Tamandua tetradactyla: one gene and its partners. The main gene of each other region encodes a partner of the protein of the gene in region 2 in a complex. Links are inferred from orthologs where the notes say so. Each region holds a gene or a part of one and is shown on either strand. Other genes may lie near its edges.

Evidence for each region.
Region 1: SNRPF (region 2) and CRNKL1 share a complex: the UniProt entries of both Homo sapiens proteins name them as parts of the minor spliceosome. The link is inferred for Tamandua tetradactyla from reciprocal best matches to the Homo sapiens genes SNRPF and CRNKL1.
Region 3: SNRPF (region 2) and SRRM2 share a complex: the UniProt entries of both Homo sapiens proteins name them as parts of the minor spliceosome. The link is inferred for Tamandua tetradactyla from reciprocal best matches to the Homo sapiens genes SNRPF and SRRM2.
Region 4: SNRPF (region 2) and SCNM1 share a complex: the UniProt entries of both Homo sapiens proteins name them as parts of the minor spliceosome. The link is inferred for Tamandua tetradactyla from reciprocal best matches to the Homo sapiens genes SNRPF and SCNM1.

Annotation. Positions count from the first base shown.
Region 1 is NC_135327.1:40,345,761-40,353,646, reverse strand, and holds the start of CRNKL1 (crooked neck-like protein 1), read right to left. Parts: upstream 3,668-7,886; 5' UTR 3,557-3,667; coding exon 3,506-3,556; intron 1,294-3,505; coding exon 1,141-1,293; intron 312-1,140; coding exon 220-311; intron 1-219. UniProt on the Homo sapiens protein: Involved in pre-mRNA splicing process. As a component of the minor spliceosome, involved in the splicing of U12-type introns in pre-mRNAs.
Region 2 is NC_135333.1:165,942,163-165,950,307, reverse strand, and holds the start of SNRPF (small nuclear ribonucleoprotein F), read right to left. Parts: upstream 3,173-8,145; 5' UTR 2,980-3,172; intron 2,785-2,979; 5' UTR 2,622-2,784; coding exon 2,619-2,621; intron 1-2,618. UniProt on the Homo sapiens protein: Plays a role in pre-mRNA splicing as a core component of the spliceosomal U1, U2, U4 and U5 small nuclear ribonucleoproteins (snRNPs), the building blocks of the spliceosome.
Region 3 is NC_135349.1:54,601,785-54,609,793, reverse strand, and holds the start of SRRM2 (serine/arginine repetitive matrix protein 2), read right to left. Parts: upstream 3,939-8,009; 5' UTR 3,734-3,938; intron 3,385-3,733; exon of another isoform or gene 3,103-3,384; intron 580-3,102; 5' UTR 551-579; coding exon 309-550; intron 1-308. UniProt on the Homo sapiens protein: Required for pre-mRNA splicing as component of the spliceosome. As a component of the minor spliceosome, involved in the splicing of U12-type introns in pre-mRNAs.
Region 4 is NC_135330.1:4,391,105-4,399,117, forward strand, and holds SCNM1 (sodium channel modifier 1), read right to left. Parts: upstream 3,434-8,013; 5' UTR 2,888-3,433; coding exon 2,837-2,887; intron 2,568-2,836; coding exon 2,497-2,567; intron 2,251-2,496; coding exon 2,162-2,250; intron 2,061-2,161; coding exon 1,963-2,060; intron 1,852-1,962; coding exon 1,763-1,851; intron 927-1,762; coding exon 732-926; intron 577-731; coding exon 477-576; 3' UTR 427-476; downstream 1-426. Other genes in the region: LYSMD1 (lysM and putative peptidoglycan-binding domain-containing protein 1), read left to right, coding at 3,764-3,943. UniProt on the Homo sapiens protein: As a component of the minor spliceosome, involved in the splicing of U12-type introns in pre-mRNAs. Plays a role in the regulation of primary cilia length and Hedgehog signaling.

The DNA of each region.
Region 1 (7,886 bases), on a different chromosome or scaffold from region 2:
TTGTACAGTGTGAGGCAGTGGTGGTATTTGCCTGTACTGCTTCTTCCTGTCATGTTAGGACAATCCTTTCACAGTGCTCCTGAGATCTCTTAAAGGAACCCTAGGATTCCATGGAACAGAAGTGAAAAATACTGCCAGAGTTACTTTTCCTAATTTCCTGTATTTGTTAACATATAACATTAATCTTTATATGCAAAATTATACTCTCAGCAATTTTACCTTTGAATCTCTTTTAGACTCTCTTCCCATTGTGCGTATTTTATCCAGTTACTAATCACAGTCCTGTTTTTTCTTATGTTATCTTCAAAAGTCTGGAAGAAGGCAAGAAGAGTCAAATTAAAGAAAAAACAACTAAAAATGACATCATTTTTTGTTTATTATTCCTTGCATTAAAAAACAAAAAATTCATTTTATTCTTATTTAAGAAAAAGTATGTCCTGGAATCCTTGAGAGAAACAAGAACTTCATTTAAGAAAATTAGAATCACAGGTTTCTTTAAAGTCCTATATGTAGATAAAAAGAAAAAAAGGAATATGAAGAATTGGTAGCAGAATTGTCACTATTTTTTCCTGTAACCCATGACAACTGACACTTGAATACACTCTACATTTGTCCTAAGAAAAGTTTTGATGATTATCTTTAAGTCCTTTTAGAATTTCACATACAACTCAATGAGACTAAAAGTAGATACAACAGGATTAGTGTATATTGTTAAAAACACTATCTTAAATTTAAAATATTCACACACTCCAGCGTGGGAAAGTCAAATCACATTCAAGTCTTTTCACCACTTTTTTCATATCCCCATTCTTAAAACAGAAGGGAAGTGAGACAAAAATATATAATACATTTGCTAAGTACACCCTTCTTACAGTTGTCAGTTGTTTCACAAATCTTCAATTTGGCATCAAAAATAACGACTCTGGTGGAGTTAATGTCTTTACACTTTAAAACAGACAACTCATGGCATCGTTTAGAGTTCAGCAAAAGGTAGTTATCTGGTAACCAGAAGTTATATTATTCACATGGCTAGAAACACTAATCTTATCTTAGAGACTCTCTAATGTGCACCTTTTCAAACTCTAACCTATAAATTCTTGTCAATACTGACAGACTCTCAAAAATATCACATGGACTCACCTTCCTTTTCCTTAGTTTATAATCATTTAACTCTTCTTCATCTGTGATCTTCTGTTGCGGTGGAGGTGGAAGTAGCTCAAGTTCTCTTTCTTTAGCTTCTCTTAAGAGTTGTTCAGCAGTTATCTGTACCTCAGCAGGGGCTTTGTTTTTCACCTTTTAAGACAGAAGACATTTCTAGTTTGGGTAGATGCTCTTCACATAAGATTTTTTAAAGAACCAAAATTTTTTTAGGATGTGAACTTCATGCGTATTATCATAAAATGCTCTATCTGTATGACATGTTTCATTTTTCTATGAGACTGTAAAGAAAAAATATTATGCTTACTATCTTGTATATTTTATCTATTACCAAAGCCATAAGTAAAAGAGTTAAGAAGACAGGTAGTGATAATAGCAAGTTTGCGCTTTAGCTTAATATAACAATAAACTTTGGGGCTGTCTGGGTAAAATTCTCACCAGAGGTATTGCTTTATCAAGATGTGTACCATATCTTATTTGGCATTACAACCTCTATTTATGGGACTCCTCAGTTTATCTTGATGCCCTGAGGGGACGACAGGGACTGGATTTTATTTTTTTATCTTTAACGCAGTTTTATTAACATATTCACACACCATACAAACCATCCGAAGTATACAATCGCTGACCCACGATATCATCACATAAGTTGTGCATACGTCACCTTGATCAACTCTAGAACATTTTCATTACTACATAAAAGCAATAAAAAGAAAAAAGAAAACCCAAATCCTCCCATATCCCATTAATGACTCATAGTGTGGCACATCTGTTACTGCTGATGAAAGAATATTAAGATATTACTGTTAACTATAGTCATTAGTTAGCAATATGTACATTTTCCCCAGTGCACCCTACTATAATTAACTCCTTGTAATAATGTTGTACAATTGTTCTAGTTCATTTAAGAACATTTTTTATATTTGTACAATTAGTCATTGTCCATCACAAGATTCACAGTATTATACATTCCCATGTTTTAAGCTCCAACTTTCCTTCTGGTGACATACATGACTCTAAACTTCCTCTTCCTACCACATTCAGACACCATATAATACTGTTATTCTCACAATAATGTGTTACCATCGCCTCTACCCATTTTCAAACAATAGGGATTGGTTTTCAAATCACCTCAAGTCAAAGACAATATTGAACATGTTCTCATGGTTAGATTATAAACTTCTTGAGGTCTTAGAGCTGTGCTGTCCAACACAGTAGCTATGGCCCAAATATGATGAATTCAAATGAGATTAGCTTTAAACGCAAACTACATATAATTTTGAAAATTTAGTATGAAAAAGAATGCAAACTGCCCCATTAAATTTTTTATATTGACTACATGTCAAAATGACAAAATTTTAGATATACGAGGTTAAAAATGTTTTTTAAATTAATTTCGCCTGTTTTTTTTAACTTTTTAATGCGGCTATGAGAAAATTTAAAACTACATATATTTCGTTTGAACACACTATATTTCTACCGGAAAGCACTACTTTAGATCAAGTCCTGCTCGGTATTGGTTCCTTCAGGTCTATTTTATATAGAAGGTACTGAATAAAATTTATGAAATTGAATTATAAGAAATATTTAATGCCACATGTAAGTAATGAGCACTGTGTCCCAGATACTGTGCTTTATTTGCATTATCTCTAGGAATCATATCTAAATAGAGATGAAAACGCCAACCTCAAGAGACACATCTGGACTGGAGACAGACAGGAGATAACGATGTTTGGAAAGGATGAGCACAGAGTTTGACACATATTAAGCACCCGGTAAATATGAGCCATGGATTGAACTATCAGATAATATTAAGCTTACTATTTAATTCCATTTACGCAGCTCCACAACCCTTGTAACCTACTCTCATTCCTTCCAGTCTCCGCTGGCTTAACTCTTACTCAGCCATCAAGTCTCAGCTTAAATATCACTTCCTCAGCAAAGTTTTTTTTTCTGAAGACTCCCCGCTTCGCAGAACTCCCCTTATTCTCGCCCATGGCATCTTCCACTTTGCTCCAGTAGCTTTAGGAGGTTGCAACGTTACATTTAGCGTAAGACACAGGCGCTAAGCGCCAACACAATAAAACTGTGCTGAATGACCTCTCTCCTCGTCCAGCAAAAACACCTTCCCAAAACTAAAGCCATGCCGACGCGGGTCGTGCTCTGGGGAGACAAAAGCCCGCGCCAGACCACCGGCTGACCCTCCCTGTCTCTTCTCCCGCGGCACCAGGCGGGGTGGCCCTGGTCCCGGGATAACATTCGCCCCTGCCCGGGCACCACGGAGGTTGGGTCTGGGGGAAACTCTTCTTACAGGCCCTCTCCCACAAGATCCCTCGCTATCGCCTACTTTGGCCACTTTAGGAATCCGCTGCTTCCCGGCCGCGGTGGAGGCCGCCATGTCGGCAGCAGTGCGCCACACGCCACCCCTTGAACGGCAGAAACCTGCTCCGAGTATTCGGAGTATACTTCGAGTATTTGGAGCATACACTCCAAAGCTTTCCGACAACAAGCGGAATTCCGGAACCGGAACTGAAGCCGGAACCGATTTGATGACCCTTAACCTCTAACACGCGCCGTGACGGAGGCAGCGCCGTTTCTGTGGTAACCGGGTTGTGCGTCCTCCGAAGCTGCAGGTAAGGTGGGCAGTACTAGCCTGGCCGGGAGGGACGTGGAGACTGGGTTCAAGGTGTCAGCGGAGCATTCCTAGGTCAGTCACCGGGAATACGAAGACAAGGGGAACCGCCGCGTTTTAGAGATTAGGGACCGAGGTCCAATTCGGACGCTATCGAAGGTTGGAGAAGTTAGGGCGGCTAGGAAACTACCACTCCCAGCATGCCCTGCCGCGAGCTGCTGCGCTCCCGGGCGGCCTGGCGCCGCGTTGCATTCTAGGCTTTGTGGTCTCTTAAGTGTGAGGTCCACTCCCTCCGTTTCGAAACAGTTGTGCCCAGAAGATTAATGCCAAGACTCGGAAGTTAAAAATAATGGAAGATATTTTGAAGCCAGATATTAATCACAAGAAAATAATGAAAGCCAGCCTAGTGTCTAAGTAGCAAACCACCCAGCTTTATGGTCATGTAAATAAATTCTCTGTGAGTGTGCCTTATTTACTTACTCTTAGCCTCAACGTCCTCGACTAACGACAGAACAATAATATCTATTTCACAGGGATTAAAGAGAAAATCGATGTAAAGTGCTCCATAAATATTAACTTGTATAATTCTTGACCAGCCTTCAAAAATAAAAAAATGAAGTATGTGCGAACAAATGGTTAAGAGAATTATGACAGTTCAAGTCTCTGGTGTTTGCCAGAAAAAAAAATATTTACGTATGTAATAATATCAAGTTTACTGCTTTTATCTATGCAGATATTTATTTCTTAAAAAAAATTTAAGCTGATTTCCCAAACTGCAACCGTTTGTAATGAAGATCAAAATATTTCCAATAACTTTGTACCATCTATATTATCTTTAAATACTTCTATTTAAATATTTAAATAGAAGATTGTTTAGTGAGTACCCTTAATTTGTAATAATGTTTAACAAAGTTTAAAGTTAGTAATCTCTAGCCTCCTCTCAAAGATACAAATACCCTAGAATACTTTACTTCTATTTACTGTGCTTGCATCTCACATGTTTTATTCTCTGGTGATTTAGTGCAACTTTACTTTTAAGCAGAAATTTATCATTATTATTACTTTTCTTTTTGCCATCAATGCCTATTTAGATATACCTTCATGTTTACTGTTTTTTTCCCTCAGAACTGCATCTTGCATTCCAATCCTTTCTGATTTTAATTTTTTTTTCCTTCCTGGAATTCATCTTTTACTGGTTCTTTCAACAACTTTCTTTGAATGGTATTCTCTCTCAGTATGATTTCACTTTCATCTTTAGGTATAGAAGTTTGGCTTTGTGGTCTCTTAGCTCTGAGGTCCACTCCCTCTGTTTTGGAATAGTTGAGGCAGTTTTCCCCTCAGAACTGAAATGGTTTTCCAGATTTGGCCCATACCCTGTTTTTGTACAGCCTGTGAGCTAAAAATTTTTTTTAACATTAAAAAAACTTTTTTTGAAAAAAAACGAAAGAATATTTCATTATACATGAAAGTTATATGAAATTCAAATTTTTGCATCCATAAATAGAATTCTATTGGAATACAGTGACTTCTTTTTTTTTCCAGAATCTTTTTTTAAATTTTTTTAAAATTTATTTATTAATTAAAAAAATAAAGAAACAAAATAAAACAACATACATAATCAGTAATTCACAATATCATCACTTAGTTGCATATTCATCATTTCTTAGAACATTTGCATTAATTCAGAAAAAGAAATAAAAAGACAATAGAAGAAGAAATAAAATGAACACAGGAAAGAAAAAAAAGGATTATACCTACCATACCCCTTACCCCTTGCTTTCATTGTTCACTAGCATTTAAACTAAATTTATTTTAGCATTTGTTCCCCTTATTTATTTTTATTCCATATGTTCTACTCCTTTGTTGACAAGGTAGATAAAAGGAGCATCAGACACAAGGTTTTCACAATCACACAGTCACATTGTGACAGCTGTATCATTATTCAATCATCCTCAAGAAACATGGCTACTGGAACACAGCTCTACATTTTCAGGCAGTTCCCTCCAGCCTCTCCATTACATCTTGAATAACAAGATGATATCTACTTGATGCATAAGAATAACCTCCAGGGTAACCTCTTGACTCTGTTTGGAATCTATCAGCCATTGACACTTTGTCTCATTTCCCTCTTCCCCCTTTTGGTCGATAAGGTTTTCTCAATCCCTTGATGCTAAGTCTCAGCTCATTCTAGGGTTTTTCTCAATCCCAATGAATCCCCTCCATTCATTCCGAGATCTCTGTCCCACGTTGCCAGGAAGGTCCACACCCCTGGGAGTCATGTCCCACATAGAGACGGGTAGAGTGGTGAGACTGCTCATTGTGTTGGCTGGAGAGAGGGGCCACATATGAGCAACAAAAGAGGCTTTCTTGGGGGTGACTCTTAGGCCTAAATTTTAAGTAGACTTGACCTATCCTTTGCAGGGTTCAGTTTCATATGAACAAACCCCAAGACTGGGGGCTCTGCCTATATCTTTGGTTGTCCACACTGCTTGTGAGAATATCAAGAATTCAACTTGGGGAAGTTGAATTTCTCCGCATTCTCACCACTCCCCGATGGGGGCTTTGCAAATACTTTTCCACTCACTGATTGAATCACTCTGGGATTCATCGGGGCATCACTCTGGACAAACCAGCAAAATCTCATGTCCAACCTGAGATTCCAAGTACTTATGGTGTTCAATCAAACTATCTACATAAGTTATATTAGGAAATGCACTAGTCAAAATATAAATTTTGTAACTAATAAACATTTTTTGCTTTAGTCTCACAGAGAAGGTGACATTTAAAAATATTAATTACCATCTATTTTCAGCACCCTGCAATAATGACATTCCTTTGTTCTTCCTCATGCAAAAACATTTTTAAAATTGTACCTTGTACATTTCACTATCATACACTCTAGGCATTCCTAGATTATACCATCTCAATCTTTAACATCTATCTTTCTTTCCAATTTCATTTATGTCCCCAGCCCTCCTCCCTCTATCATTCTCACATGCAGCTTCATTCAGTGTTTTAACATAATTATATTACAGTTAGGTAGTATTGTGCTGTCCATTTCTGAGTTTTTGTATCCACTCCTGTTGCACAGTCTGTATCCCTTCAGCTCCAATTACCCAATATCTCACCCTATTTCTATCTCCTGATGGTCTCTGTTACAAACAAAATATTCCAAGTTTATTCACCAATGTCAGTTCATATCAATGAAACCATACAGTATTTGTCCTTTAGTTTTTGGCTAGTCTCACTCAGCATAATGTTCTCAAGGTCCATCCATGTTGTCACATACTTCATAAGTTTGTTCTGTCTTAAAGCTGCATAATATTCCATTGTATGTATATACCACAGTTTGTTTAGCCACTCATCTGTTGATGGACATTTTGGCTGTTTCCATCTCCTTGCAATTGTAATAATACTGCTATAAAACATTGGTGTGCAAATGTCTGTTTGTGTCTTTGCCCTTATGTCCTCTGAGTAGATACCTAGCAATGATATTGCTGGGTCATATGGCAATTCTATATTCAGCTTTTTGAGGAACCGCCAAGCTGCCTTCCACAGTGGTTGCACCATTTGACATTCCCACCAACAGTGGATAAGTGTGCCTCTTTCTCCACATCCTATCCAGCACTTGTCATTTTCTGTTTTGTTGATAATGGCCATTCTGGTGAGTGTGAGATAATATCTCTTTGTGGTTTTGATTTGCATTTCTCTAATGGCCAGGGACATTGAGCATCTCTTCATGTGCCTTTTGGCCATTTGTATTTCCTCTTCTGAGAAGTGTCTGTTCAAGTCTTTTTCCCATTTTGTAATTGGGTTGGCTGTCTTTTTGTTGTTGAGTTGAACAATCTCTTTATAAATTCTGGATACTAGACCTTTATCTGATATGTCGTTTCCAAATATTGTCTCCCATTGTGTAGGCTGTCTTTTTTTATTTTTTTTATTTTTACATGGACAGGCACTGGGAATCGAACCCGGGTCCTCTGGCATGGCAGGTGAGCATTCTTGCCTGCTGAGCCACCGTGGCCCACCTAGGCTGTCTTTTTACTTTCTTGATTAAGTTCTTTGATGCACAAAACTGTTTAATTTTGAAGAGTTC
Region 2 (8,145 bases):
CACTTTACTATATATTTCATTTGTTGAAAGGCATCATGGAACTTTAAGTAGCCCATCTTCAACCTATCAAAACTTTAAAACTTATCCTTTATTCATTATTCACTTAAACAGTGATTGCCTACTTTACATCACTCATTGTTCCAGGTTCTAAAGAAACAAAGCTAAAGGCACTAAAAAAATGCAAATGACATCGTCCCCTCCCCAAGAAGCTTGGGGGGCATGAGGGTAGAGGTAACATAAAGGATGAGAGATGTTCGAAGGGAAAAAGGGCTTTTTTGGGGAACATAGGCAGGCTCTGGGAATCAAACACGGGGTCTCTGGCATGGTAGGCGAGAATTCTGCCACTGAGCCACTGCTGCACCGCCCAAAAAAGGGATTTTTTAAAGCACAGATTACCAATAGAAAAGCAGGGAAAGGTGAAGTAACAAGGCAAGCGCAGAGACGTACAAATACTTCAGTACTGTTAGAGCCCCAAATATGAAGCTACAGAAGGAAGCACAAGATAGAACATGTTTGACTAACTCACACGTTAATTCTTGAGGTCAGGGCTAGGTGGGTTTTTTGACTTGCTATCACTAATGCCTAGCAATGCCTGCCTCCGTATGGGCAATCACTTAACCTCTGTTTATGAAGCCAACCAGTAGTATCCTAGGTGAGTTCAGACTTTTCTCTTTCCCTTATCTGTTCACCCAAAAGCACAAAGAAAAGAACCATGAAACTTGGCTACTAATCGCCCCTCTAAGAATAGCATATTCAAAGTGATCTCAAAGGACATGGAGACAATGGAAATAGGCACCTAATGGGTCTCCAGTTTTTACTCATCTCTTCCCAATTTATTATCACTACTGCAACTATTATTTTGTTGTAGGAAATGTGAATATTTATTGAGACTTCAAAAAATACTATATATTTTTTATCTTTTTGTGGAAACGAATGCCCTTTGATCTCACAAGAATTTCCAAGATGAAATCATTGTCCTCATTTTCATTGAGAAGAATGATTGGTTAAGAAAAGTTATGAACATCTTTAATCTAGTGTTAGATGATCAATCTGTAGAAAATAGGCTTGTCAGATAAACATTATGATCAGGTCAACCATGTCTTCCCTTTCCACTTTTCCTTTTTTGTGATCTTTGTGTCTGTCTCTAGTTCATCTCTTCCTCAATTTTGAGGCAAGATTTACCGTGTTGCTATTTGTCTGATCAATTCTTTTTGAGAATAAAGTCCACATCTTCCCACTTTCTTTTTTTTTTTTTTGCAAACACTTACTTCACCCCCACCCCCTTCCATCTCCTGGTAACCTCTAATCTGCTTTCCACCTCTAGCAATTCGCTATTTCTAGTCAACTTTTATGATTGATAAAATACAATACCTGAACATAAGTGTCTTGCTTATTTCACCCAGCATGTTTTCAAAGTTCTTCCATGTGGCAGCATCTCACAACTACATTCTTTTTTACAACCAAATAACATTAAATAATGTGTATACACCATATTTTGTTTATTCATTCATTTGTTGTTGGATACGTGGGTTGTTTCTACTTTTTGATGTTGCGGATAATGCTGCTATAAAAGCTGGTGTCCAAGTATCTGTTTGTGACCCTATTTTCATTTTCTCTGCTTATGTACCCAGAAGTAGAATTGCCAGGTCATATGATAATTCTATATTGAACCACTGTCTTTTAAAGTATATATTCAGTCACATCTTATCTCTGCTTAAAATGCTTACATGGCTCCAATTACACTTGGAATAAAATTCAAACCCCCTTACATGGCCTAAAAGGGCCTACCCAATTCCTGCTCCTCCTGTCCTATCTCATAATCACTTTTCTTGCATGCAGTTGTGGCTTTTTGTCAATTCGTGTAACTGGTCAAGCTTTCTTTACGACTTTAGGGCCTCTGTTTATGTTTCTTGTAGTTCAGTCTTTCTATTTTTTAGGTCTCTGGTCAAATCCCACCTCCCACAGAGGCCATCCCTGACCATCCATCTCCACACCCAGGCACATCACCCCGCACAGCATCCTGTTTAGTTCCTTATTACCACTTATCATTACTTGCAACTATATATTTACTCCTATTACTGAGTAACGTCTGTTTTCCACAAACAACCATGAGTTCACCTAGGACAGGGTAAACATGAATATTTTTCACACGATATTCCTAACGCCCTTGAGCAGTATCTAGTAAGTAATATGCGCTTAATAAATATCTGCTGAATGGATAAATGAATGCTCTCAAGTCTGGGCTTTGTGTTCCAGAGGGCTGCAGGGCTGAGTATCCTAACACCATGGAATAAAAGTGGGTTTGGGGGTTTTTGAACCCAGCGATCCAAGACCCTGGTTCATCTTTACCCAGACCCGGTGGTCCCAGCCAGCGGGAAATCTCAGATCCGGATGCAAACGAAGAAGGGAAGGGGCCCTACTGGGGAGGGGGCGAGGAGGGCTCCGGAAGAAGCGCGCGCCTCAGACCCCTCCAGATCAGAGAGAAAGAGACTGGCTGCAGCGCGCGCGGCCCCTCACGCGAATGAATGGGGAAGGCGTGAAACCGCCACCAGGCCGGGCGAGGCTGCTGCCCTCCCTCTCGCCCTCTCCGGTGAGCCTGGCCGCTCTCTCCTTCTTACCATCGTGACTACCAATGAATGCTGCAGGCCGCTCGCCTCCGACCCCGCTGTCGTCCGTCCCCGGTGTCTGGAGCGGCTGTCGTAGGCCGGGGGTCTCTGAACCTGAGGAGAAATGGCCGCCAAACAGCAGCGTGACCTTTCACCTCCACCACAGCCCTCCTGACGCCTGTGATTGGACGCAAAGAGATGCATGCTGATTGGAGGAGGCGGCTGGTCACGTCTCCTGGCAACCCACGTCGTGCGCGAGTGCTTTCGGGGTCGCGGACCCGGCTACAGCCTGAGGCCCTGCGCTCGGGACACGGGTCCCTGGGGGCCGGCAGAGCCCGCGGGGGGCCCTTGGACACGCCGTTTGCTCACTCACCCAGGGGGCCTTTGGAAGAACCTTGTCTAGACCTCCGGGTTGGGAGACGCTGTGCACAATGCCAAACGGACGTGATTTCTGTGCTAGGGATTCCCCTTGCCCTGTACTTCCATGGGAACGAGCTCGGGCATCTCGAGTGTCTTCTTTACGTTCCCGCGGATTTTATGACCGGCGGGAGAGATGGCGGCGCCTCTGCCACGGTCTCCTTGTACCTGCGGGTCCTTTTTATTCTGTAGTGCTCATTCTGACCCCGCAGAAAGTCAGGTCCGGAACTGACTTCCGATGAGGTGAAGCCGAGTCTGGAAACGGGGTGGCGGTCCCTGCCATTCCTCTTCTTTTCCGCTGCCCGCGGGGACCGGTAGACCCGTTCCGTGCGTGCGCGGTCGAGGCCCGAGCGGGTGCCGGGGCCGCCCTGCCCGCCTCCCGGGCCCTCGATCCTCGCTCCTCTCTACCCTGAAGGAACCCCAGTCAGTTCTTGAGAACTTGCTGCGGCCCTTGGGGGAGGAATTTGGGCCGAGGATGGAGTGTTAGGAAGGAAGACGGTTGGGGCCTCGGGACCTCAGGACGGTGAGAGGCGCCGTTGGTTCCTACAACTTGTGCTGGGACCCAGCCGGGTCCCGAGGGCCGGTGAGTACAGGTTCGTGGAAAGGCGCTTGGAGCGGCGCTGTCGGTTTACTTTTGTTTTAGAATAGTTTATGCCAAGCAATTTTTGTAATTACTCCAGATGTCTATGGACTTCCCCTTATCTTGACAATTACTCAGTAAATACCTAGCCTTCGTGCAGACTTTGCGTTCCGATGTCTGCCAGGCCCTCGACCGCCGTTAGCGAGGAAATCTTCCCTCGGGGTCTGTGATTTGGCAGTTACCAGCCCCATTTTAGAGATGAGATGAGCAAACGGGCTCGGCAGCTATATTTTTCAGAAGTCTGACTTTTTAAAAAAAGCCATTTTCTCAGTGAAGTAAAAGAAAAAATTTCACCCCAAACGTTAATCTTTGTAAAGCTAGTTGTGTTTAAAGTTGTTTTTTTCTTCTCACGTTGAATATTATGACTATAAATGCCAGACGTATGTTTTGTGGGAATTTTGGAAGATACAAAAAGTTCTAAAAATTAAACCAAAAATCACTGGTAATTCCATCAATCAAAGTCAACAAAGTTTACTTTGTTACTTTGTACAGTTATTGTAACATATGTACGTTTAAAAACAGATATTTTGTAACTTTTCACTTTATAGTGTGCAAATTCTTATATAAATAAAAATTCTTCTAAAGTGTGGTTTAATGCCTCCATTCTACTATTTTATGCATATATGATGATTAATTAATCATTCTTTTGTCATTCCCAGTTCCCCCCATAAATGTGTGTTGAACATATTTGTGTGTGACTCTTTGAGGGTATTTCTGATTGCTTGAAATAAATCTCCGATCCTTCCTGGGTTAAAGGACATTATTATTTTAAAGACTTCTAGAAGTATATTTTGCCATGTTGGCAAAGATTCAACAGAATATCTATCAGAATAATTGGTTTAATCTGTGGGAAATAAAAAGGTTTACATTTTTTGAAGAAAGGATAGAATACATTTTGGGTACACTTTGAGGAAACTGTCCCGAGTTATTAATTAGGCTGAGCAAGTTGGTAAGACCTGAGTGCTACCACACCTCAGCACATGATCCAAAAATTCCAATGTAAACAAACATTTAGAGTAATTTAGTAAATGACCAAGAAATTTTTATTGAGAATCTTCTATGAAGTAGGCACTCAGAGGGTAAAATAGTGAGTAAATTGGACATGTAATCTCTGCCCTTGTGGAACTTAAAAACCTCTTTGAAAGGAAGGGAGCTAACGCACATTGACTGCCTGCCATGTTATGCTGGTGTATTTCATGTTATTTATTTTAAGTCCTTACCATATGTCAAGATAGGTATCATAGTCCCCATTTCGGAGCAGAGGAGGCAGTCACAGAGGTTATGCATTTTTGTCCAAGGCCATGTGGAAGGTGAAATGGATCCAAAGCCTAGGAGACAATGCCTACCCTCTCAGTGTTTTTGAATAGAGTATAAATAAATATATAGAATCCCCAAAAGGATGAAGGGGAATAGAGTTCAGAAAGTTCTCTTTGAAATCCATGATCTCTGCCTTTCATTTTCTCTCTTTTATTCCCATAATCTCAACATTTTGTTTTTCTATGATTATAGTCAGAAACAGTTATAGTTATGGCTAAAGTAAGTTTAAGGGAGGAAAATCTAAGTTTCAAGTACCTTCTATTTAGTTGATGCTTTACACATTTTGTGTTATACCTGAGAGATGTGGTATTTTGTCTCGTAAAGAAATTAAGGCTCAAAAATAATTAACTTCCCGGAGCCTGCCCATGCCAATATATATATATTTATATTTATGTTTATATTTATATTTATATATATTAACTTCCTTAACTCATAAAGCCACTACACCTAAATTAGAATCAAAGTCTTTTTGGTGGTTCAAAGCACTTCCTGTTCCTATCATACAGAGGGAACTGTACCTCAAAGGAAACCTGGCACTGTGGTGGGAGCCAAGACCACCTGAGTTCAAATCCTCATTCTGCCATGTGCTAGTTAATTTATCTTGCCTCAGTTTCTGCATCAATAAAGAGAGGACAACAAGGACAGTACTTCTCTTACAGCGTTGTTTTTAGGAACTAGCAGCCGAAAACCTGAGAGACAAAGTAAGGCTGAGAAAGCCTGAGTTGGGCTATAAGATTTGTTCATATATATAACAAGGTTATATAAAAAAGGACAATATTTGAGGTATCAGAAGATGTCACTGAAAACATTGATATAATATACTTAACAGCACTTTTTATATGATGGTTTATGTGATTAGCAGCATCATGGTTCCCAGAGCTGGTCTGAGACCAGATTTGAATCTGGGTTTGAATCCTGGCTCCAACATCTACTAACTGTGAGAACATGGGAAGAGAACTCAACCTCGATAAGCTTTTTCCACCATTAAATAAGAATACTTCCTCCTTTCTCCCAGAGTGGTAGTGAGCATTAAGAGTTAATACAAGACTCCCTCTCTTTCCTTCCTGAACAATTCAGTCCTAAGGTCCTCAAGAGAAGCTGAGCAAAGAAGGCATTTATGCTGTGGAATGGGGGTTGCTGCATGGGCCCAAATTGGGTGAGGAAGGTGTCCACACAGATGGCATCCCGGAGGCTGGGTGCAGAGCCTGACCAGGAAGAGAGGTTTGAAAGAGCCAAAGTGTTCATCAATAAACAACTCAGTAGATGGGCTGTCACACATCTACAAAATAGAATATTTGCAGTTGTACTAAAGAAAGAAGTATCCATAAATAGATATGGAAAGCTCTCCGAGATAAATTACTAAGAAAAGTATGACACAATAATGTAATGTGTTACCTTGTGTTGAAAAGGGAAATAACAGTCTATTTGTATGTGCATAAATTAACTGGAGGATTCCTAAATACTAAGAACATTGGCTACCCTAATTGGAGTATAATGGGAATTGGGTTGAAAGCAGATAAGGATGAGGCTTTTTACTGTATGTGCTGTTTTATATGTTCTATTTTTGGAACCCTTGAGTGAATTGCCTATTAAAAATTAAACTGAGGATGCAGGGAGGATGGCAGAATAGGGTAGTCTGAGCTCGCCTCTGCTCTGTGGAACAACTAGAGAAGTGACAGGAGGACAGCAGTTCCAGGGTATGAGTACCAAAGAGGGACTTCTACATTATTTAGGGAGGACCTGGATGAAAAAACAGAAATTATGACTGAGAAGATGGGGTGAGTTAACTCAGTTGTGATGCAACTGGGGCAGGCTGCAGCATGCAGGCTGGAGTGGAGCCGAATGCTCCTGCACTCCTGCCCACCTCCATTTCAGCTTGAGAGGTCTTCCCTCTTGGCCCTGCAGCTGGGGCTCCCGTGGGGAACTACAAAGCCAGCAGACTTGGTTTACTGCAGAGGCCTTGCTGCCAGTGCACAGGGCCTGCCCACCAACCCCTGAGGAAAGTCGCTGTGGGAGCCTGGTTTGGGTGGAGGCTGGGGGGCCCTTCCCTTGGGAGGAGGGGGGAACACAGAGCAGAGCCAATCTGACAGCTAGTGAGAGAGACTCCCTGGGTCCTGCTACATCTATCCTTTTGTCTTGGAGGCCTGGAGTGCTCACAGCATGCATGGGTGGAGAGGTGGGGACAATGGGGCAAGCCGTGCAGCACCCCCAGGCACTCCTGGCTGGCTGAGGACAGGGGCAGTTGTAATACTCAGTCCTCAGTCTTTGCACGCAGGAGCCCGGCAACCACCAGACCCATGGTGCCCACAAGTGGATTCCCCACCGTGGTGCACACTGCCCACCCCCGGCCCTGGGGATGGTGGCTCTCACTGCACATCTTGACCTGCGGCCCTGGCTGGCTTTACACTGGGTTGGGATCCAGCAGGGGTAAGTCAGGCCTGATGGAGAGAGGTGGCCCAAGAGCACCATCTGCTGGAAAGACCAGGGAGGTGTAGCCTGGCAAGCCACCATTCTGCCTAGCCTCTAAAAGATCTCCAGTTAGAGTTGCATCTCCTGCATGAGGTCCCGGCCTTGGTTTGGCAGAGAACTGCTGACAAACCAAGTGCAAAAGGAGACCTTCAACACAAACCCAAACAACTCCAAAATCTTAGATGACTTTGAAATCAATTTTCAAACTAATTTTTTCAAGATAATCAAATGTCATGAAGTCAACAAAAAAATCACGAAGCACATGAAGATGCAAGAAATTGTGACCCAGCCAAATGACCAATTTAAAACACCAGAGGAGACACAGAATTTGGAACAACTAATCAAAGATGTTCATACGAATCTCTTAAATAAGTTCAGTGGGTCGGCTAAAAAAAGATAGGAAGATACTAGACAGCATAAAGAAGAATTTGAAAGAATAAATAGAAAAATAACAGACCTTACAGAAATGAAAGTTGCTGTAGCTCAAATTAAAAATATACTAGAGACACACAACAGTAGATTTGAAGAGGTGAAAAAAAATAAGTGAACTAGAAGACAGGACAACTGAATTCAAATGCACAAAAGAACAAATGTTGAAAAAGAAGGAAAATTTGAATTGGATCTCAGGGAAATGATGGACAATATGAAGCACACAAATATGAGAATTATTGCCATCCCCCAGAAGGAGAAGAGAAG
Region 3 (8,009 bases), on a different chromosome or scaffold from region 2:
TTGTCTCTGCTTTCCTACTTTCCCTCAAAACACATTTTTGTTCCTCAACTCTCCCCTTTACCCGTGCGACTCCATCTAAATAATCCAAAGACTCGCTCAGGCTCCCGTCTGTGTCCCAAACAGTGTCCTCATCTCCCACTTTGATCTGTCCCTTAGATCCTTTCCAATTCTCCAGCTTATTCACCTCCTCCCCTATGACGACTCCTAGTCAGTCCTCTTTCAACCAGTTCTAAGCTCCCCAAATTCCACCTAACTTCCCCAGCTCTGCACTCACTCGATGCTTGGCTCTCCCACAGCCCTCCCCTCACCCCTGCTCTTCCATCATCTCCTCCAGCTCGAGGCATCGCAGCTCCACGCGCCGCTTGCGCTCGTGGTCCAGGATGTCAGGATTAGGCCGCTTCACCAGGGCAGCCTCCAGGCGCCGCAGTTCCTCCTCTCCCTTGTAGTCAGGCCGCTCACCCCGGCGGCCCCGCACCAGGGACAGGTTGCGCTGGACGTAGCCGTTGGTGCCGCTGCCCCGGGGCGTCGGCAGCCCGATCCCGTTGTACATGGCCCCGTGCCCGGGGGGCACCACCGCTCCTGGGGGGGAGCGGGTAGACACGGGTCAGGCCCCTGGCCCCAAACTAACCACTTACCACCACCCAAGTCCCTGCTCTCCTCCTCCATCTCTATTTCAACATTCACCTCCACACTAAACCTCCTTCAGCTGTACACTGATTCATCATCCTCTGGTCTCCTAATATGCCCCTTCATCCTCCCCACACTTCTTCCTGTCCATCAAATCACAGCCCTACTTTTAAAGCCTTTCTCCCAGTACTCCTGCACAAAACTCTCAATTATTTCTTCTTAGATTTTGTTTTCCAACTGAGGCAAACAAGGATGCAATTTCTCTCAAACCTCTCCACACTGTCCCTTTAACCTCCTTTGGCCCCAATAAGCACAAATAGTGCCTTCTCCAACTACTGGACTTCCTAGCCAGTAACTGACTGAAGCCTCAAATGGGGCACAATGAACACCAGAGAGATCTGAGGCACCCAAAGGCCTGTGGTCCAAGCTCCAAAACTCTTCCAAGAGTCCAGGCCAACCCGTATGAACACAAAATGGACTAAAATGCCCCTAGATATCTAAACTAGTGGACTAATTGGTTAAAAGAAATCAAGTTTCCTGTGAAGCCTCACACCCAGACTAAAATCCAACATGTACCTCAGAAACTTACATAAACCTTGGCTAAACCCCTTATACTTCGTTCACCTCCTAGTAAACGGCTACTTTTCCTTGGTTCCAAACATTCACAGCTCCTAAAAACTATCTGAATATTTCATTCCTTCAATATTTTTCCCAAGAGGAATTCCCACGATCAGCATGCTGTTCCTTCAATGCTAACTCCTGTTAAATATTAGTTTTCAACTCAGAGCTCTACTTAAATTCATCAAATCAGCCTTCTCTGTTCTAATTCATCCCATACCTTTCACTATACTCCTTGCCTCATAAGCTTACTCAAAAGACCTTCCCTCTCTATACCTCACTTTCATTAGTCAACCTGTCCTTGGTTTTCCCTACCAAACCCCTGTATCTCACTTTCTAGTTTTCTCTCCTAGCCCTGTCTTCTCCCTGTCATGTTAATCCCATGCCTCCCACCACGTTCTATTCTTTCAACTTGTCCCACCACTAACAAGACCCTGAAGAACCATCGAGTCCCAGTTTTTCCAGTTAGATTTTGTGACTCCACACACTCCATTCCTTTCTCCCACTCATCCTCTCCAAGACAATTTCACAGAGCATGAGCGTATGAGAAAAAGACCCAAGGAACGGCTAAAGAAAAGAATACAGAAATAATCAGATAAAAGGAAAGGAGCATCATACAAACAGATATACTAGGGGAAAAAGAAAAAAAAAGCATGGAACGATTCTGAACGAACAGAATGGATAGCTCAGTTTCACAACAATTTACCCCATAAAACTAAGGCCGGTTCCCTGCCCAACCCCAGCAGAAAACCTAAGACAGAATTAAAAGCAGAAAAAGATAGGTATAACGCCTTTCAAAAAATAACTTTTTTCAAAGGTAAGGGAGTGGCAAATGAGGCCAAATCTAGAAAAGGCAAGTGGAAAGGCCCAAGAAAATGAAAAAACTTCCTTATAGCCCAAGAAATCAGCTATTACTGTACCCTCCCACTGTCACTTTCGTTTTTTTCCAATACCAATCCTCCCCACTCTAAAGCCCTCTTTGCCTCTCTACACCCCACCTAACTTTCCACTTCCCCCACACAATGCTTCTGACCATTCTTCAGCTTACTTAACCATTCACCCGCACTTCCACACCACCTCACACAAAAATCCTCCCACTCCCCAGGGAGAAAAAACTAGTAGCTGCCAAGCAAAGGGTATTTAGTCACAATGAATTGGAGAACTTTTAGGACACGATCAAATCAAACGAAACAAAAGAGAAAAAAACAAACAAAAACACCAGGGCAACCAAGGAGGTTCTCAAAACACTAAAAGAAGGGACCAAGCAGGAGAAGGAACTTCATAAAACAGGAATTTTAAACCGGGGTCCAAAGACTGTGGGCATGCACAGATGATCCGATGTAAAAATAGAAAGTTAAATCAAACTGCAAAGGAAGGCAAAAGAGACATTCTTCTATGGGAAAATCATCAGGATCCCAAATCAGGAGATAGACGGGAATATCGAAATTTAAAAATCAAAAAATGAAATAGCACCACAAGGAGGGAAGGTGTACAGGGACACATAGGTAACATGGCAAGACCGGGGCTGGGACGTTGTAATAGGTGAATAAACACTATGGAACTCAGAAAAGTAAACTGTGATCTCAGGAAGAGACCTAAACCCACACAACTAACACGGAAGACCCCAAAATAGATTTCTTCTGAATTTTTTTGTATCTAAAGGACATCTCAGAGACGCCATGTGGAAACCAGGGCTCAAAAAAATTGCGGCCCAAAGAGCGCTTGAAACAGGAAGCCAAGTCTCTAGGTCTGGAGTTTTATTTCCAACGAAGGGCTCCAACAGTCTCCTTAGGTTTAACGATTTGGGGGCAGATAATGAAAATATGAAAAAAAGAGCACACATAATACCTTACATACCTAGGCTGAATACGCAGGAATTTTTTTTAAAGGTCCCACCCTCAATCCTCTAATAAAACGACTTCAAGATGCCTAAATCTCGGGGGCATCTAGTACTAGGCATTCCCTGAACTAGCTGGGCCGCGCACGCCTATTTTCGGCCTTGAGGGATGGGGGAGGGGGCTGCGCGGCGCCCCGCAGTCTGGGAGGAGCCGGACCAACGAAGCCTCCGGGTTTGCCAACAGGCCCCCGAGAGGGACGGGGAAGCCCAGTGCCGGAGAGATCGCCGGAGAGAAGGCCCGGGAGAAGGCTCCCGGCCGCCCCCCACCCCACCCCACCCCCCAAAAAAGGCCGAAATGAACAGCGGCGGCCCCAGGACCGGGGGCGGCGAGAAGACGGGGCGCGCGCGAGCCCGAATGCGGCCGGCGGCGCGCGCCGTTGCCATGGGGGAAGGGAGAGAAGCCCTTGAGCTACGAGAACCGAGGGAGGGGGAGGGGAAGCAGGCAAGCGAGGGCGTCCGCGCGAGCTAGGAGCATCCAACGCGCGTGCGCGAAACGGCCTAGGCCGTTCTCCCCGCGCTTTGGCCTCGCGCCGGGGCCGCCGTGCGGCTGCCCCTCCCCCACCCGGTCCGCGCGCTCCCTCACCCTCTCACCCGCCGCCGCCGCCTCCTCCGCCCGCCGCCTCCGAGGGGGAGAGGTACTGCCGCTGTCTGAGCTCTCGAGTCCCTCGGGGCCTGGAGCCGCAGCCTACACCCGCCGATCCGCCCGCCTCAGCCGACGCCGACGCCTCTCTGCTTCCTCAGGGGCCGCAGCAGGCTCCGACTGCGCCACTCGCTCCCCGCCTGGGCCGCGCTGCACGTCAGCACGCCTGACTAAGCGCGTCAGCACGCAGCCGCGCGCGTCGCAGGGCCCGCCGGGAATCGTAGTATGCCCTGCACACTTTTGCGCAGGCGCCAAAGTCACACCGGGAAGTGTGGTTTCTTAAGGCCCGAAAGTGGTGACTCGTGGCTGCGAGTCACCGAGAACTGCGGGTCCCGTCGGCCAATACAAGGAAGGTGGGGGGAGCGGCCGGAGCGAGTAACGTATTCCGGAGGCTTTCTGCTGGGGAGAACGACCCACAGCTGAGCGCCACCTCGACCGTCGCTCTAGCGCTCCTCGGCCGCCCGCCTTCCGCCGCAGAGCATTCTGGAAGTTGTAGTTCTTGCATGGCGAAGAACCCGTATGTAGCGTCGGTCAGGGGTGCGGGCGCCATCTTGTCTCCCCATTTTGGGAGGCGATGGCTCAAGCCCCGCAACAAAGCTCCTGCCATGTGAGTGCGGGCTCGAGGGGCGCGCTGGCGTCCATGCGGCTCCCAGCCTTGGTTCCGGGGAAAGCCGTCCCGGACCCCGGACGATGGGCCCCCCTGGCCCAGACACAGGCCGAGCTATGCTGGTGGTGGTCGCAGGCTTCACTCGTGCAGACCGCGCGGAAAGGTGGCAGCTTGCCCCCGGAGATAGTTTTCGGTTATCCCCTAGTAAGGCGACCTGGCAGAGATGCAGTTTTCTCTTACTTAACTTGGAACGTGTTAGACGTAAATGTATACACACGGAGATGTGACAGGAAAAGAAAAAGTTATGATCACCCCTCCCCCTTAAAAAATTAAATCCATTTTTCTGATCCCAAGAAGCAGCCAGTCTCTTGGAGCAGAGATATAAGAAATTGGGCTTTTCAGACGGGCCAAAGTTTAAATCTGGCTCCACCGCCTGTGGCTATCCTGGTTCTCTCCAGTGTCCTCACCCCCTTCCTAGGGCCTACGGTCGCCATCCCACACGCAGGTTTTGAGAACATCCTTGCTCACAGGACACGCTCGTCGCCGGCCTCGGCACTGGGGATCTTGACTTTGCATGGGAGCTGTGGCTTCAGTTTGCAGGGAATTGCCCTGAATCCTACCTCTTTGAGCCGTGGCCTTTGGCCAGTGCGTCCCTGAGCTGGACGCTCCTCAGGGAAACTATGGCTATGGAAAGCTTTTGTCTTCCTGGGCCTGAGCTGTTTGGCGTTCCTGAGGTGGAGGCTGGAGGCTGGAGGGTGGGGGGGTTTTAAAAAGAAGTATTCCAACCCAACTCCTGAGGAGCCGGGGTGGGCACATTCTCAACCCGAAAGAGCACACCGGGCACGGGGTTTAGACATGACTTCTTAGCAGAAGATTCTTCTTGACGGCGGTGTCCTGCGGGGAGGTTGAGGGGTGCAAAGGATAGCTTGTGAGGGTTTAGGACAGAGACATTCCGTGGGGTGTAGGAGCAGAGCTTCAGCAGGTGTCCTGGCACAGGGGTGTGGAGATGTGTTATTACCGTGCTGGGGAAGAGGAGTTTCAGTGCCCTCACAAGGTAAGCGGCGTGTGATGCCATCTGTACCGTCTTTCCTCCTTGAGGGGGGCGTCATGTAGGCAGCTAGTGCCTAACTCCCCTTCGGAACGGAGGTGGGGCCCAGGCCCTGGGTCTCCCCAACCACCTTCCCAGTGAAACCCTTCCCTGACACCCAGCGTCCCGTGAGAGTCTTCCCTCTATTTATTGAATGTTTGGGGCTGAGTTCTGTGCTTGAATCAGCTCGTTTAATGCTCAGGACAACCCTATGCGGTGGGTGTTGCTCGCCGTTGTTGCTTCCTGTAGAAACGGAGCTCGAAGGATATTAAGGAATGATGAGAAAGAAAGAAAGGAAGAAGGAGAGAAAGAAAGACACAGACGGGCTCAGGGGGTCTGAAGCTTGAGTTTACTTCAGACAGACTTCAGACAATTTTATTTTATTTTTTATTAATGAAGTTTTTTTATTAATTACAAAAATTAACTAACAACATTTAGAAATCATTCCATTCTACATATGCAATCAGTAATTCTTAATATCATCACATAGATGTATGATCATCATTTCTTAGTACATTTGCATCGATTTAGGAAAAGAACTAGCAAAACAACAGAAAAAGATATAGAATGATAATATAGAGAAAAAATAAAAATAATAATAAAAATAAAAAATATATAAAAAAGGAAAAAAACAAAAAACACAAACAAACAACAAAAAAAAAACTATAGCTCAGATGCAGCTTCATTCAGTGTTTTAACATAATTACATTACAATTAGGTAGTATTGTGCTGTCCATTTTTGAGTTTTTGTATTTAGTCCTGTTGCACAGTCTGTATCCCTTCCGCTCCAATTACCCATTATCTTACCCTGTTTCTAACTCCTGCTGGTCTCTGTTACCAATGACATATTCCAAGTTTATTCTCGAATGTCGGTTCACATCAGTGGGACCATACAGTATTTGTCCTTTAGTTTTTGGCTAGACTCACTCAGCATAATGTTCTCTAGGTCCATCCATGTTATTACATGCTTCATAAGTTTATTCTGTCTTAAAGCTGCATAATATTCCATCATATGTATATACCACAGTTTGTTTAGCCACTCTTCTGTTGATGGAGATTTTGGCTGTTTCCATCTCTTTGCAATTGTAAATAACGCTGCTACAAACATTGGTGTGCAAATGTCCATTTGTGTCTTTGCCCTTAAGTTCTTTGAGTAGATACCTAGCAATGGTATTGCTGGGTCGTATGTCAATTCTATATTCAGCTTTTTGAGGAACCGCCAAACTGCTTTCCACAGTGGTTGCACCATTTGACATTCCCACCAACAGTGGATAAATGCAATTTTATTCTTAACCAGATCCTGGTTATATACCACAGGATGACAATAGGCATGCATGCATTTCCCCAGGGAACAAAGTTCTTATCTTTCAGTGTTCTTCCTTCGTACTTAAAATAACCATTTGGGGTAAACAAACATTCTCTTCCTCCTAAACTGTCTTACATAAATCAGATAACATAAAGCAGTTTACTGCCACCACCACACTAATGCCATCTACTCCCAAGTAGTTCCACAAGTCTTATATTAATCCTGTCTCCTATACCCCGTTTCCCCTGGGGAGAACAGTTAATATCCACAATCCAGTAATCAAAATTATGAAAGTACATTGAAACAGTGCTATTATCAAATCTCCAGACCTTATGGAGATGTCAACAGTTCTGGTAACAAAAAGCCCTTTATAGCAAAAGGAAGTCCAGGGTGGTGCCTGGATGGAATTCAGTTAGATTCCCTAGACCAGTACAACCTTGAGTAATTCTGACTCCTCGTTTTAATTTATCATGTTGACGTTGTTGGAGGGTGCAGGCCGTTTATCTGGTAGCCTGTCCCTCCGTTTGGGTTGGTCTGAGGTTTCATCATGATCCAGGTTATGCATTTGTGGCAGGAATCCCACACAAGCGATGTTGGTTCTTCACAGCACATGATGTCAGGAGGCTGGTGCTGCCCATTGCTGCCCCTTACTGCCAACGCTGATTTTGCTCATTAGGTTGACAGAGGGACAACCAGGTTTCTAGCTGTAAAATCGCTAGTTTAGGGGGTACAAGGGTAGTTCAGTGGTAACATCCCCACCTGCCATACCGGAGACCCGGGTTCGATTCCCTGCCCATGCACTTCCCAAAAATGACGAACAAACAAAAACCAAGCAAAAAACCAAAAATCAAAAAAATGGTGCTGCAATAAGGGGATACCTACATGGAAAAAGAGTAAAATGTGACCCCCACCATACAGTGTACAAAGAAAAAAAAATTTACTAATTTACCCTTTGTAGTTAAAAGCAGTGTTCAGAGGAGAATTTATTTAGAAACCAAGATCTGCCTACTCTGTGCGCTTAACTGTTACTAGGGTGTCATTGCTTCTGGGCCGTCTTTGAGGACAGAGCTTGGGAAATGGATAAACTTTATCCGTTAGTTCATGCTGTCCAGTACTGCAGGATCCCTTTTGTCCTTTCCCCTCTCCATGTTAACTCCTTTTTCCAACTGTGAGAGTCCTTGCTTTGCTTTTCCAGGATATGCAAAGTTATTTGCTTAATCCTAAAAT
Region 4 (8,013 bases), on a different chromosome or scaffold from region 2:
TACTCTGGGGATCAGCAGGCAGGGAGGTTCAGGTTACTAGGAGGAGGTGGGGGCTCCCTCCCTTGGTGTTCCCCACAACCCTCTGCCAATGCCTTTAGTCTCTTCTACTTTGTCAAGGCACCTAGCCTCACCCCTGTTTCCAGATGTGGCCAAGCCCCCCAGTGCCTACCTTATACCTCATGTGATGTGAAGGGGGACAAACTCTGAGTGGAGACAGGGAAAGAGACAGACAACATGAAGGGCGAAGACCTTTCTGACAGACTTATTAATAGGGCACCGGGTTGCATGCAGCTGACGCTTGGCATGACTTTGGTAGAAAGTGGGGGAAGGGTGAGAAGTATGGGGAGCTGTGTACATTGCAGGGAAGGAGTGGCCAGATCTGAAATCCTGAGATGGGACAAGAACCAGACTCTAGAAAAGTGAGGCTCCCAGCACCTGTTGTAGTTTATTTGTGAATTAAATGGGGAAAGACAGTGTTAGTCCAAGGAGAGATCAGGGGGTTCTTCCTCATCAGAGTCAAACTCAACATTCTCATCTTTCACCCATCGGCCTCGTCCATCTGGGATCCATCCAGAGCTGGAAAAACATCAGAGAAAACAGAATTGGTCAGAATGAGAAAAAGGAAGTTTGAGTCGTTAATGGGGATAAGAAAACAACAATCAAGTATGTGTGCAAAAAGGAGAGACAGAGAGCAAAGAGAAAATCCGAGGAAAGTGATTTTGCATACTCACCTTCGAAGGGTGAGGTAACGATCCAGGGCTCGTCTTCTTGTGGGGCTCATGGGTGGGGGGGCTAAGACAGTTGCTGTCTCCTTGGCCTGTGGGCCAGCCCCAGACTCAGGCTGCCTGCTGATTATCCCACTGTGGAGTTCAACCTCTGGGGGTGGTAAAGGAGAACAGGAGACAGAAGGACCAGGGGCTTCGGGTCTAGGGAGAGAAGGATAGAAGTATATAAATGCCATAAAGGAAAAGACCAACTCTTCTATGACTCCCACCCCCTAAAAGCAGTGTTGCCTAAACAACTGGTTCCTAAACTGCTTCTCAAGATATTAATAAGTGTTCTGCATATGAGGAATTTGTAATCAAATGAATTTAGGAAAAGCCTATAGTAAACAAAATTTTTAAAATATATATATTTTTAATTTTAAGACTTTGTAGAGCCTTTAAAATATGCTGATATTACTATTCCTCAAGTAAGAGTACAAAGTACTATTTCCCAAACTTTATTTAAAATCACAAAGTTTTCTTTTTCCTGAAATACCAATTAATATCTCTAGAACTCTCAAATTCCTCAGAATACAATTTGGAAAACAATATTTTTAGAGCTATCTATCTCCTTTTGCCTTCCATCTATCTAGGTCCCTCCCTGCCTTAAGACTGATTCCCATACCATATATATTTTTCCATCCATTGTCTCCATCTAACTAATGTGAAGTGAAATAACTTTTCATAGTTATTCTTCAATTCTTAATTTTTCCTAATGCAGTAATGCTCAGTGGATAAAGAACAGTCTTTTCAACAAATGATGCTGAGACAACTGAATAACCCACATGCAAAAGAATGAACTGGACCCTTACTTCAAGCCATATACAAAAAGTAACTCATTTCAATTCCCAGACCAGGCACCACCCCCCACCCCCCACCCCAAAAGTAACTCAAAATGATTATGGACCTAAATGTAAGAACTAATAGCAAAGTTACTCTTTCCCTATTCTTCATCCTCAAATCACCATATTTTCCTCTGGCTTTCCCATCCCACAGACCTGTACTTCCGACGGCAGCAACTGTTATAGTGGGGGGCTCTGTGCAGCGCACTCTGGGTGATAAATCGAGTCTGGGCCAGCAAAGGAGCCTGGCAGGGAAACAGGAGACCGAATCAGAGCCTTCAGAGCTAGAGAGGAGCCAAAGCCTTTCCAGCCTGGCGTGTGTGGCAGAGCCCTGCCTAGGATTACCTCTTGATTACCTCTGATTTGGTCTCCTCCCTCCTCAATTCATTTTGCTGTTTTGGATTCTGCTCCTTTCCCCTTCCTGGTTGCTTTTTGCCATAGAAAAGCTGCAGGCCTGAGGAGCAACGGAAAGGAAATTACAAGCAATGTACCAAGAGTGACCTGCAGAGATTTCGAGGGTCTACTCTCTGTTTCCTGTCTTCCCCCCAAACTTACTAGACAGATGTTTCTTGCCTGCACGGTGGGCAGTCAACATAGCCAGGGTGTCCAGTACAGGTCGGTGGGGACAGATGGCACAAGCAAAGCTAGGGAGGTGAGAGAAGAGGATAACTGGATCAGGAGGGTTCCTCCTACAGGTTCCACCCTGTCCCACTAGTCCTTTTCATAGGCCACTCTCAGGTTTCCCGATCTTTACCAACCATATCCCTATCTCTTCTGGTCCCTCACGCCGCACCAGAGTCCTAGTAACTCCCAGTCTTCTCCTTAACAACAACAGTTTATTGGACCTGTAACCGCAGAAACCTCAGACTTGCGTCACTCATTGCCCTCACCGTCCATCCCGCAGCATCAGTGCCTCATCCTCCGGGATATAACTGGCCAAGAGGTCACCGACTCTTCGTTTCTGCAGGGGGTGCGAGGGAAGAAATCGAACAGGGTCAAAGAAATAAGCAGGACAAAGTATGGAAGGGAAATTATAGTGATGAAGAATCAAAGGTAATAATGACCATAGAGAGAACAGCGATCAAAGGGCGAAAAGGGGGTGCACCTCCAGCTCTAGTCGCCTGGCTCCCTCCCGTCCCCGGAGCTGCTGCCTGAGCAACCCGGCAAAGCTCTTTCAAAAACTTCAGAGGGCGGCTGAAGCTGCTCCAGACCCTCCCCTTTAGCGCTTACTTTGAGCACATTGAGTTGACTCCAATCGTCCCCTTCCCTCTTGAAAGACATCGCTATCGTGAGTCCCAGCAGCCATAAACTCGCTAGCAATGCATCACCCGCACCTTTCAAGCCATCTTAGCAGGTAAAAGGTGTCTGCTTTCCCTCTCCTGGTTTCCTTCCGGTTGGCCGCCCGACTTCCGGGGACGCGGTTCCCTGTATGCACTGCGCGACGGCGAAGGGGGCGGAAGCGGCTCTGCGTTGGCTCCCGGCGCCCCCGACGCGCGGGGCCTTTCGGGAGATGAAGTCTTTTCTCAAAGGGCTGGAACCAAGGCCCTTGCATCTTGGAAGATTCGAGGCCTTTGGAGGCACAAGATCCTAGATGTGGAGCTGATGCTTGAGCCCGGATTTGAGAGTGTGACCGATGTGATGCTGAGCTGGCTTCTTAGAGTCCCTGAATGGAAGTGGACTACAAACGCTCGCCATCCTTAAGCCCTTCGTCTGTGGCGACAGCTCACCCCGAGTAGGCCTGATTTGTTCCTGACCCTAACGGACCAACCCCTGGACGGGGCGGAGCCGCAGTGGGGGAGGCCGGGCTGCCCGGCTGAGAGAACAAACTGAGAAAAGGGTGTTGCGAGGGTACCTAGAGTTCAAAAGTCAGAGGTCAGTGGAGCGAGGACTTGTGGGAGGTCGAAGGTTGGTGGGTGGCTAAAGGGAGACTCGGGAAACTGAATATTCAAGAACTAGGACTGTGGGAAAAGGGGCTTGAAAGGAGAGAGGGCGGGGAAGGGGGTGGAGTGACAGAGGCGGGAGGAGGTTTGGGGGAATAAAGGGGAGCTAAGGGCGAGGGGGTGGGTTGGGGAAGATTTAGGAAAGAAGAAGAAAGGAATACCCTGGATTTAGCCGGGCCTTCTCAGTCGCAGACTCAGCTGTCGGCAGGGTGAGGAGATGGCTTCTCCCTCTAGACAGGTTCCTCTTGGGGGTTCAGGACTGCTTCAGGGAAGCCGGGCTCGTTCTTATGGTAGCCTGGTGCAGTCTGCCTGTTCTCCAGTGAGAGAAAGACGCCTGGAGCATCAGCTGGAGCCCGGAGACACGCTGGCTGGACTAGCACTCAAATACGGGGTAACGGTGAGTCTCCCAATTAGGAGAGTTATTCCTCAGAAGAATGCTTTGGCTCCTCAAGATGAACTTCCCCTGAATGTTTCCTAACTGAGGCTGTGCTCGTGTTCTGTTTACCTATATCCTTTCGTTTGCTGACATCTCTCAGTGTTGCACTGTCTGGTCGGGACAGATCCTCTCCCACTATCCCGATAGAGAGGAGCAGCCGACTGTATGTCAGCCAGTATGCTAGTTGATTTACGTACATTGGCTCATTTGATCCTCATGTCCCTATCAAGTATACGACTATTGTCCTCTTTTTGCCGATGACAAAACTGAGACAGATTGGTTAACCAGTTTGACCCGAGTCAAATAGCTAATGAGTGTCAGCGTTGGAATTCAAACAGGTCTGTCTGACTCTGAAGCCTTACTAGCTTTTGTGGCTATTAACCACATAGATTTTTTTTTAATTGAGAGTGATTAAATATTTACAGTAGCTAATGGAGAGCTGATTTTTAGTTCTAAGTTCCTGGGTGCTTATCTTTTCTTGCTGTATTTCCCTCCTTCCGTGCTCTGCCTTCTTTCTGGTAAGGTACTCTCTTCCCCAAGTATTTCAGGTCATGTATGGGGTATTTTTGACAAGTGTAAAAATATATTGCACAGACCCTCCCCTTTAGCGCTTACTTTGAGCACATTAAAGTTGGTGAATTTTTCCCCATATCCTGTTCAATCTAACAAACAAGTATTGGATTTAGCCAACTTTGTTTTTATGCTTCATATATTTAAAGCACTGTGGTAACCATCTTGAGAGATGTGGTCATTACCATCGTGTAATTTACAGTCTAATGTGAAGTGGACAGGGACACAAATAGTGACTGCAGGTGGCAGACTGTGTTGTGAACTAGTAGAGGTATTTAATAAAGAGCAGGAAATCAGAAAAGGAGGTTAATTTTTATTCAGAGGGGGACAAGGGGGGGAACACTAGTGCAGATTTTTCAGGGAGCCAACACCATGGACCTTGAAAGACTTAGAAGTTCCTTCCTCTGTGGCCCCCTCTACTATGTAATACCAGTTGTTTGCCATCTTTGTCTTTCCAGCAGCCTATACTCTCCTTAAGGGTAGAAACCATTTCAACCTTATATTCCTAGAGTCTGGCACAGCGCAACACATAGAAGCTGAACAGATGTTTTTTGAATGACTGAATGGATATGGCTAAGATTTCTATCCATGGAGTATAGGAAAGAAAATATTTCAAGTATAGGGAATGCCCTCAGCAAAGGAAGCTGGTATGGAAGTACAGGACAGCCCCTGGGTCTCAGCTGGGGCCTAGAAGCCATGCATAGATGCATCTGAGCCACCAGTGAATCATTTAGTATTTAATATTTACAATAAATATCAGAGAATTTTTTTTTTCTCCCATTCCGTGTCCCCCTAGCCACCCTCTGTCTCACACGCTTTCGTGTGTGCACACGCTAGATCATGTACCCAGCAGTTCTCCCCTGGAGGCAGTTCTCCTTACATGACCAGGGAGCATTGGGGAATGTGTGCAGTGGGAGTTGTCACCATTTAGTGCGCAGGGGCCTGGGGTGTCAAGCGTGCAGCACTGCCTGGGGCACCCCCACAGTGAAGAACTGCCATGCCTACAGTGCCAACAGAACCTCACCACGTTTTGCCAAACTGAATTTTCTCTCAGTTTCACCTTTGGAAATTATGCATGCTTGTATACATGTTAGAAATTATCGTTGCTATCATTCCCCTTTTCTTTTTCACCTGGCTAATTCTCATTCAGCCTTTGGGTCTCTGCTTAAATGTTACTTTAAAATATATGTATATTCTTTTTATTAGAGAAGCTGTGAGTTTAGGAAAAATCATGCATCAAATACGGGATTCCCTTATGCCACCCTATTATTAACACCTTGCATTGGTGCGCTACATCTGTTACAGATGATGAAAGCACGTTTTTATAATTGTACTATTACCTATAGTCCATAGTTTAAATTAGGGTTTACTGTGTTGTGCAGTGCCATGGATTTTTTTTTCTTTTAGTAACATATATACAACCTAAAATTTCCCCCTTTTAATCACATTCAAATGTATAACTCATTGCTGTTAATTATGTTCACCATATTGTGCTGCCATCACCACCATCTATTACCAAAACTTTTCTGTCGTCCTGAATAGAGACTCTGTACATTTTAAGCCTTAACTTCCTATTCCCTACCCTGCCCCCACATTCCCATCCCCTCGTAACCTATGTTCTAGATTCTGACTCTGTGAGTTTTCTTATTCTAATTATTTGATATCAGTGAGGTCACACAATATTTGTCTTTTTGTCTCTGGCCTGTTTAACTCAACATGATGTCTCCACGGTTCTTCCAAGTTGTCACATGTATCAGAACTTCATTTGTTTTTGCAGCTGAGTAATATTCTGTTGTATATACCACATTTTGTTTATCCATTCATCTATCGATGGACACTTGAGTTGCTTCCATGTTTTAGCAGTTGTGAATTATGTCACTTATGAACATTAGTGTGCAAATATCTGTAGTCTAAGGAAGAAGAGTCCTATGTTCTAGACCCATTCTGCTGCTTACTAGCTGAGTGACCACGTAAGTCATTTCCTTTTACTGAGGCCTCAGTTTCTTCACCATTTGTAAAATGAAGAAATGTATTAAATAATGATATATAATTATATAATATATAATAATGATAGTAAAGTTATTATCTCCCTACCATTTATTTACTATGTGTCAAGCTCATAAACGTATTATCTCATTATTTTTGTAAGACTCTGTGAGGTAGGTGTAACTATCCCTTTAAAGTTGAGGAAACTAGGACTTAGGGAGATAAGATAACCTGCCATATATCAATGCAACTAGTATATTGGTAGAGATAGGGTTCAGGCTAAATTGTCTCCTTCTGAAACCTTCACTTTTAACTGCTCTTTTACACAAACTAGATTCTAAAGGCATTTCTAGCTCTGTGGCTATGGCTAAATTTTGGCCTCAATTATATCCCCCTTTTTAATAGTGGTAACATATATATAGCATGTAGTTACATTTCCAGGAAAAAATAAAAGCAACAGAAAATTCAGAGTAACTCATAGCGTCTTGGAGCTGGAAGGGACCTAGGATATTATCTAGACAAACTAAAATTAAAAGCATGAAAGCACTTAGCAAGTTTAAAGTACAAAAGTACAAGCCAGTTTTACTTTTTTTTTTAATTGTTCAGTTTAATCCAGTTTTCTTTTTAAACGTATTATAATAGAATAAGATTTTGTTGGTCAAGTTTATTATAGTAGTCTTCCCCCAGGGTGGAAACAGCTTTGATATTTGACAAATATAAGAAATATGCTTTCCGTACTGGTGCCAATATGAGGTGAGTTTTCAGTAAAACTGGCAACCTGACTTTCTGATAGTAAAATACTGATAGGTTATGTCTATGGTTTCTCTATTTATTATCTGGTTTATTTATTATAAAGCATTCATGAGCCCCTGGTATGTGCCAAGCATTGTGGAGCATTGAAGAGCACCGTGGGATATAGAGACATCAAGTTATCATCACTGCCCTTAGAGGACACACAGGCTGGCAGGCAAGACAAAACGCAGAGATGATTAACTGTGTAATAGGAGAGTATTATTGCAGCAATACTTACAGATGCTTTGGGAGCCCTGAAGAAGGACTATCACAAAGACGGTGATAGTGATAGTTGATAAGTAGAAGTTTTCCAGGCAGAGAAGGGGCTACGAGGAAGCATTTCAGTCTGAAGGAATATTATGAGTAAAGACACAAAAATGTGAAAGAACATGAAATGTTCAAAGAACAGTGCAAAGTTGAGACTACAAAATGTATTGGCAGAAGAAGAGAGATGAGGGTTTACATTTTCTACAGGGGCTCTATTGAGAAAGTCCTTGAATGCTAATTTGGATTTCTTGTTTAGCTGGTAGGGAACCATAGGAGGTTTATAAGTGAGATTGCTTTGTGGTTTGATCTGAATTTTTTTTCAGAAAGGTGGATGTCAGCAGTGTGGGTGGTAAGTAGGAATGGAGCGAGAAAGACCAGTTTAAAAACTGTTGCAGAAATATAAAGGTCTTTTCTGA